Elephas maximus indicus: one gene and its partner. The protein of the gene in region 2 interacts with the protein of the main gene of each other region in a biochemical or structural test. Links are inferred from orthologs where the notes say so. Each region holds a gene or a part of one and is shown on either strand. Other genes may lie near its edges. The genes, in order: SERPINA5 and PLAU.

What was found.
Region 1: the proteins of PLAU (region 2) and SERPINA5 form a complex in vitro, tested with the Homo sapiens proteins (2 studies listed by BioGRID). The link is inferred for Elephas maximus indicus from reciprocal best matches to the Homo sapiens genes PLAU and SERPINA5.

The regions. Positions count from the first base shown.
Region 1 is NC_064828.1:108,117,905-108,121,817, reverse strand, and holds the start of SERPINA5 (plasma serine protease inhibitor), read right to left. Parts: upstream 3,046-3,913; 5' UTR 2,977-3,045; intron 1-2,976. UniProt on the Homo sapiens protein: Heparin-dependent serine protease inhibitor acting in body fluids and secretions. Inactivates serine proteases by binding irreversibly to their serine activation site. Involved in the regulation of intravascular and extravascular proteolytic activities.
Region 2 is NC_064834.1:13,708,620-13,712,532, reverse strand, and holds the start of PLAU (urokinase-type plasminogen activator), read left to right. Parts: upstream 1-1,131; 5' UTR 1,132-1,150; intron 1,151-3,913. UniProt on the Homo sapiens protein: Specifically cleaves the zymogen plasminogen to form the active enzyme plasmin.

The DNA of each region.
Region 1 (3,913 bases), on a different chromosome or scaffold from region 2:
CTGTGGGTGGTACAAACAGTTAAGTGCTCAACTACTAACCAAAAGGTCACCTTTTGAAACCCACAGAGACGCCCCTTGGAAGAAAGCCCTGCTGATCTGCTTCTGAAAGCCTTCAACACCCTCTGGAATGCAGTTCTGCTCTGACACACACGGTGTCACCGTGAGCGCGCATGAACTCAGCAGCAGCTGGTTTGGTTTGATTATTGCGTACTTACTAGACACTCTGTATCTATGACCATTCAATATGCACGCAAAGTAGGCGTGACTAAGCCCAATTTACAGATGAATACACTGAGGCTCAGAGAAATAGAACAGCTTGTCCCAGCCATTGAGTGATGCACCCCAGATTAAAATCCAGACCCCTCTGTCTCTGGTGCCCACACTCCTCTTGGCTCTGAGGGGTGGCACCTCATTCCTCCTCCCACCCGCTCCTGGTGCCTGCCCCCCAGGCCTCTCCAGAGCTGTTCACCTGCATTAGCTTGTGTACTTTCGTCCACAGCAACTGGAAGCTGGTACCGTGATCACAACTGTGCCAAGATGAAACGGGGAGCAGAGATGGGGCTCAGCCAGGAAGTGGGGTCCCCGGGGCTCCTGTTTCAAGCTTGTTAGTTTCTTAGTCATCACTTCCTGAGCCAGGGGTGGGAGCCTGGGACTAGGACATTGTCCCCCACGGGGTCCCTGCAGAACCTCCCGATCTTAGGTCCCCAAAGTTAGATACAGTTTCTGCAGAAATGCCCCAAGGTGTCAGAGGGATGAGAGCTGGTCAAAGCAAACCAGCCATCAGTCAGTCTGAAGCCAAGGGGCCTGAGGAAGAAGGAGCCGGGGACAGGGGAAGTGGGGGCTGGTGTGGGGAGTCAGTCCTCCTGCTGAGTCCACACAGCCACGCACCCCAAACCCGTTGGCTGATACTCCTAATGTTAGGCAACCAAACCCCAGACAGGCTGACTTAGGACTCTGTGGGAGGCATGCAGCTGAGGAGGGTCTGTTCCGTACCTGTCAAATCCAAACAGGGAGAGGCCAAATTGCACCTTTCCCTGGATTTCAAAGACGGGGGGGACAGAGCTTCACGGGAGAAGTGACCGTAGAAGCTTTCTTAACTTCCCCCTCTACCTCCTATCCATCTGCACGTCTTGTCGATTTCAATCTCCAAGATATGTTTTAAACCTACTGGGGGCACTCCATCTCAGTGAAAGCCCCTTCGTCCTTCGCCTGGACCCTGCAAAGCCTTCCTTCCTGCCCCCACAAACCAGCTTCCTCAGTCAGAAACCTTGTTGTCAGAGCACTCCCTTGGATCTTTGGGGGAAATCTGAGTTTGGTTTGTGTGCCAACCCAAAGGCCCTTCAGGGTCCCCTTTGCCCTGCTCTCTGGCCTCCCCCTGATGGATTCTCCCACTTTCACTTCCTCTAGGCCCACTTCTTCTCTCATTTCCCCAAACCCAATGCCCTCTCCAGCGCTCCGGGCCCTTCATGTCCTACTGTCTCCCCTGGAAACCTGCCCCCACCTCCCCCACCTTTCTCGTCAGAGCATCAGGCCTCAGCTTCAAGGCCCCTTCTTCGTGGTCCCTCTGGAAGCTGGGCCCAGGCCCCTTGGTTGTTTCTCTCAAGAGCCCCATCAATTGTTGTGCGCCATCAAGTCGATTCCGACTCATAGTGGTCCTGTAGGACAGAGTAGAACTGCCCCATAGGGTTTCCTAGGCTGTAATCTTTATGGAAGCAGATTGCCAGGTCTTTTCTCCTGTGGAGCTGCTGGGTGGGTTCAAAATCTTTCATTTAGCAGCTGAGCACTTAACTGTTGGGCCACCAGGGCTCCTTTCCCATCAATTATGCATGCGTCTGGGCTCAATTTCTTTTGTTCTGCTTCTCTCTCCACTAGAATAAGTGCTCACAGCAGGGAGCCCCCCATCTGCTCTGCCCCCAGTCACGGGGAGATGCTCCATGCACCTTTGTGGGATGAATGAGTGAAGGAATGAACCACCCCTGGCCCATCCTTTGTAATTCGGTGTCGGGCCGCAGGCTGGGTGCTGACTAGTGGACCTAGAGCCAGGCTGGGCATCCAGACCCTTGCTCACACCACCAGCCCCGGGGTTAACTTGACCTTGAGTTACTCCCTCCCCTAGCTCAGCCTGTTTCCTGACTCAGGGGAGCAGTTTCTCCTTTTATTGTTGCATTTCTTGCCAAAGGTCCCATCCGTTAAAAACTGAAAACTGCTGATTTCTGTCTACCTTGTGTTTATTTAACAAACTGCCAAATGGTGTCTGGAGTTGGCGGGCAGCTGCTGTGACCCTGAGGGGAGGCCTTATCTCAGGGAAGTGGATTGCATTTTAGAATGTTTCCTGATTTTATGGGTCAAGACCCTTGGCATAGAAAACAATGCAAGCCAAGGTTACTGAGCACCTCCTGCTAGCCCGGCATTTTGTCCCCTCCTCCTCGTCCTCATTTCAGGGTTTCTCAACCTCACACTGTCCACACCTGGGGCTGGATCCCTCTGTCATGGAGGAGGCTGCCATGTGCATTGTAGGATGTTAGCGACGTTCTTGGCCTCTGTCCACTGGATGCCAGTAGCCCCCCCTCCGCCCCCATCTAGTTATGACAACCAAAAATGTTGCAGACATTGTTAAATGTGCCTGGGGTGAGGGGGTGGGTAAAATCACTCCTAGCTGAGAACCACTGCCTTACTTAATCTTCATATCAGGCCAGGCGTATGCAGAGGGTTAACTATTTCCACCTTACTGATGAGGAAACTGAGGCTTGGCCACATTAGTGCCATGCCCAAGGTCACACAGCTAGGGGAGACTCTCCTCCCTGGCTCAGTTCACGTTGCCATGAGGGCCCTTCCCGCTCTCCCTCTATCTGTCAGGGATGCCTCTGCAGCTCTAGCACCCTCCAGGTCCCTTAATCAGAGCCCATTCCTTGTCTCTGCTCCCACGTCCTGGAAGCCCCAGGAGGCCCCTGTCTGCACTCCAGAGTCTGTACTTACTCTGTCCAGTGGCCGAGCGTGGAGACAGTGGAGGTGGCGTCCGTCGGGCTTAGCAAAGGGCAGAGAGCTGGCTGGACTGGAGCCAGAACTTGCCTACGACCTTAGCGGCCAGGACTCCACCCCTCCCGGGCCCCGCCCCAGGCGCCCTGCTCTGTCCTGCAAGGCTTCTAGCCAGCAGGCGGGCTGTGGACAAAGCTGCATGAGGGCCACCCACTCACTGTCCTTCAAGCCCCACACCGGCCTCAGTTTGCCTGTATATGCATGGGCACCCTGGAGAGACGAGGCAGAGTCAGGAAAGGCCACTGTCAGCACACCCCGCTTTTCATTAGACTCAACACGTTTGTTTCTGCAGCCCATCTGCTACAGATCCAAGAAAGGGGAGACTTGAGCCCCAGACTCCACAGGCCTTCTGTGCTGACTTGTCTCGTGGTCCTCAACAGCCAGATGCTGGTGGACCTTAAAGGGATTAGGAGAGCCTCAGGATGGTTGAGTTGAGGGGCCACTGTGTCTGGTCCCCACGTTGCACGAATCACTGAATTGTGGCTCAGAAAGGTGAAGGGACTTCCCAAAGCCGTACATCAATTTAGGGGCAGAGCGGGGCCTTAGTGCCCAGTTCTCTGACATCTATTGTTACCTGCCATCAAGTGGACTAAGAGTCATAGCTACCTTGTGAACAACGGAATGAAATGTTTCCCAGTCCTTCATCATTAGCACGATCACGGGCATGTTTTATTGTGGCACTGAGGCAATCCATCTCATCCAAGGTCGTCCTTGCCATTTCTGACTCCACTTCACCACACATGATGTCCTCCTCCAGTGAGGTGTCCAAAGCAAGTGAGTTGAACAATGTTCTGTAATGACCCATAGGGTTTTTATTGACTAATTATCAGAGCTAAATTGCCAGGCTTTTCTTCCTAGTCTGTCTCAGTCTGGAAGC
Region 2 (3,913 bases):
CCATACTGCCCCTGAGCCAGGAAGTTCAAAGGAGAGTCATCTGTGCCTACAGGTCACACCCCCCCAATGCAGCCATTGTTGGGCTGCCTCTGGGAAGGGGGTCTTAACTAGGGCTTGGCTTGAGTTAAAAGAGCAGCATTCCCCAGGCAATCTGCCAGGGCCTTCTCACTGCCTGGGCGTGGGGCCCAGGACATGCCAGGGCAATGCCAGAGAGCTGACTCAGGGGGTGGTGGGTGGAGAGGAGGAGAGAGGAGGCTGCCTGGAGCCCCTGCGGTGGCCCTGCAGTGCCAGACCACCAACAGGCCCTGAAGCCCCACATTTCCTGGAGTGCCCATCAGAAGATCAGGGTTCTCCCTCATTTTCTCAGCCCCTTCCTCCTGCATAGACCTTTAGATGTGCAGTTATAGGCTCCCAAATCCTGTTCTGCAATTGACCAAACCCTGCCATTGTCATTTCTTAAGTCTCTGACCTTGAGAAAGTTACTTCTCCTTCTGCCCGCCCCCTAGGGCCACAGTAAGGATCAAATGACATAATGTCTGTGAAGGTACCTTATAAACTATAAAGCACGTTTGTAACAAGGTATCATTATTGTCATGATTATTCCTGAGACAGGAATTACAGCCGCTGGCCCCTAAACCTCAAAGTCCTTCTGTTTGCCTGTCTTGTCTGACAAGTCACTCAGAAGCCAGTACCGAAATCCTGACCCAGTCCTGAGCCTCAGAAACATTGGCACAGGCTCTCTGCCTGGTGCTATGGTACCAATTCAGGGCAGCAATGCCCCAACCCCACCCCTAGCTCTGTTAAACCAGTTCTTTCCCTTCTAATCAGACTCCTCCAGTCTAGTTTGCCTGCAGGGATGAAAAAAAAACCTAAAATAGCACAGGCTCTGCAAGTACCACTAGAGACTTGAGGGTGTAAGGTATTGCCTGTCAGCCACGGACCTGTCTGGGCTTCCCAGCCAGGTGCAGCCCTCTGCCCTCTAGGGCTGGCCTGTCTTCTTTATGCAGCACTGGATGACAGGGCCTCCTGTCAGTACTTCGGGCAGCTAAATTGGATGACTACCTAGAAAGCTGGCTTGGCTAGAGGTGCTCGCGGAGGCGGCTCACTGCTCCCCCACCAGCTCCTCACACCCACCCTCACCAGAGGCCAGGTAAGCTGAGCTAAGATCCTGAGGAACAGTAGCTGCTGTCATGGCCCTGGGGAAGGCTGCAGACTGGGTACCAGAAGGGTCTGCTTCTGAGACCCTGAAGCTAGCAGGTCCTGGCTTGTCACTCTGGCTGCAGAACCAGTTTGGTGTGTGGGCTGATGGGGTGCCTCCCTGGCTGCTGGGCGTGGCTCTGCACTGAGACTTCCCACAGGCCTGCGTGTGACTTACCCTGATGGGAGCGGTGGCTGTCAAGGCCCATTCGGACAAGGAGGCTTGTAGCAGGGAGCCAAGGGTATGAACTACTGTTCTAACAGCCGCGTTCATCATTGCTGTTGTTGTCATTAGTCGCCCTTGAGTCGACTCTGACTCATGGTGACCCCATGTGTTACAAAGTAGAACTTCTCCATGGGGTATTCTTGCCTGTAATCTTTATAAAAATTTTTATTTATTTTGTTGTTGTTGTTGTTGAGAATATACACAGCAAAACACACCAATTAAACAGTTTCTACACGTGCAATTCAGTGACATTGGTTACATTCTTTGAGTTGTGCAATCATTCTCATCCTCTTTTTCTGAGTAGTCCCTTCCCCCATTAACATAAACTCACTGGCCCTGAAGGCTCCTATTTAATTTTTTAAGTTGCTATCGTCAATTTGACCCCATATACATAGTTCTTAAAAGAGCATAATGCTTAAGGCAGAGTTTTTTTTACAAGTTAAGCTCAACTATTTGGTTTTAAGAAGATTTCAGGGGATACTTTTGGTTTAAAGTTTAAAGATTAACTCAGGGTAATAGTTCCAGGGGTTTATCCAGCTTCTGTGGCTCCGGAAAGGAGAGAGCCCATGAGAATTTAAAATTCTGTTCTGCATTTTCTCCTATTGATCAGGATTCTTTTATAGAATCTTTGATCAAAATGCTCAGTAATGGTAGCCAGGTGCCATCCACATTTTCTGGTCTCTGGTTCATGGAGCAATTAGCCAGACATTCTATACCCTCCTCTTATTCCTTACTCTCCTTCTTCCTCTGTTGTTCCAGGAGAATAAATACCAATTGTTGTGCCTTGGATGGAAACTTGCAAACTTTTAAAACCCCAGGCACTACGCAACCAACTAGGAGGTAGAACAGAAGCACTGAGCAGGTTATTAGGCCAATTAACTGGGATTTCCCATGAAACCGTGACCTCAGACCTCCTGTCTTAGTTACTTAGTGCTGCTATAACAGGAATACAACAAGTGGATGACTTTAACAAGCTAGTTTATACTCTGACAGCTTAGGAGGCTAGAAGTCCAAATTTAGGGCACCAGCTCCAGGGGAAGGTTTTTTTCTCTCTGTTGGCTCTGGGGATAGGTTCTTGTCATCAATCTTCCATGGTCAAGTTGCTTCTCAGTGCAGGGACCCTGAGCCCAAAGGACAAGCTCCGCTCCTGGCTCTTCTTGGTTGGTAGTAATGAGGTCCTCCTCCTCTCTGCTTGATTTTCTTTTCTATATTTCAAAAGAGATTGACTCAAGGTACAACCTAATCCTGTAGATCAAGTCCTGCTTCATTGACTTAACTGCCTCTAATCCTGCCTCATTAACATCATAGAGGTTAGGATTTACAACACATAGGATAATCATATCAGATCACAAAATGGAAGACAATCACCCAACACTGGGAATCATGGCCTACTCAAGTCGACACATATTTTAGGGGGACACAATTCAATCCATAACATTCTGCCCTTTGGCCCCCTGAAATTCATGCCTTTGCCACATGTAAAACACACTCACCCCACCATATCATCCCAGAGGTCTTAAATCAACTCCAAGTCCAAAATCCCACCTTCTGCAAAATTCCTCTTCATCTGTGAAATCTAGAATACAAGTTATCTGCTTTCAAAGTAAAATGGTGGAACAGGCACAATGTAGACATTTTCCTTATAAATGGGAGACATTGGAGGGAAAGAAGGAATAACAGGCACCAAGCAAGTCCAAAACCCAGCAGAACACATTATGTTAGCTTTCAAGTCTTGAAAATAATCTTCTTTTCTCTGAGATCATTTAGGCAATGGCCCTGCCCTCCAGACTCTGGGTGTTAATGCCCTGAATTTGGACTTCTAGCATCCTAAACTGTGAGAGAATTAACTTCTGTTAGTTAAGCCATCCATTTGTGGTATTTCTGTTATAGCAGTACTAGATAAGTAAGACAGAATTTGGCACCAGGAGTGGGGTGCTCCTCTAACAGATACCTAAAATGTGGAAGTGGTTTTGGAATTCAGTAATAGGTAGAGGATGGAAGAGTTTTAAAGTGCTAATAGTAAAAGCCTGGATTGCCTGGAAGAGACTATTGGTGGAATTATGGACATCGAAGACAATTCTGGCGAGGGCTCAGAAGGAAGTAAGGAGAACTGTAACACCTGAGATGGCACAGATGGCAAGAAGCAGCAGAAGAGAAACAGGAGTGGCAGAACCAGGAGACCAGTGTAAGATGATGCAGGAGCCAACCCGTGGAGCAAGAAAGCTGATTGCCTTCAGACAAGAGGCTTCATTGTGAAGTGTGGTGCCTCTGGGCACTTATCGGTGGAGCTAGGCTTGCTGACCCACAAAGCAAGAGAGCTGAGTGCCTCCTGGCTGAAGTTAACTGATGGAGTGGTGTGCCTCTAGGCACTTCTTGGTGGAGATAAAGAGCTTTGTAACACTTACCCAAGGAGGCCAGCCCATGAGGCCCGAGGGGCCAAGAGGCCAAGGAACCAGGAAGCAGAAGCTGAAGAGACAAGTAGCACAGGAC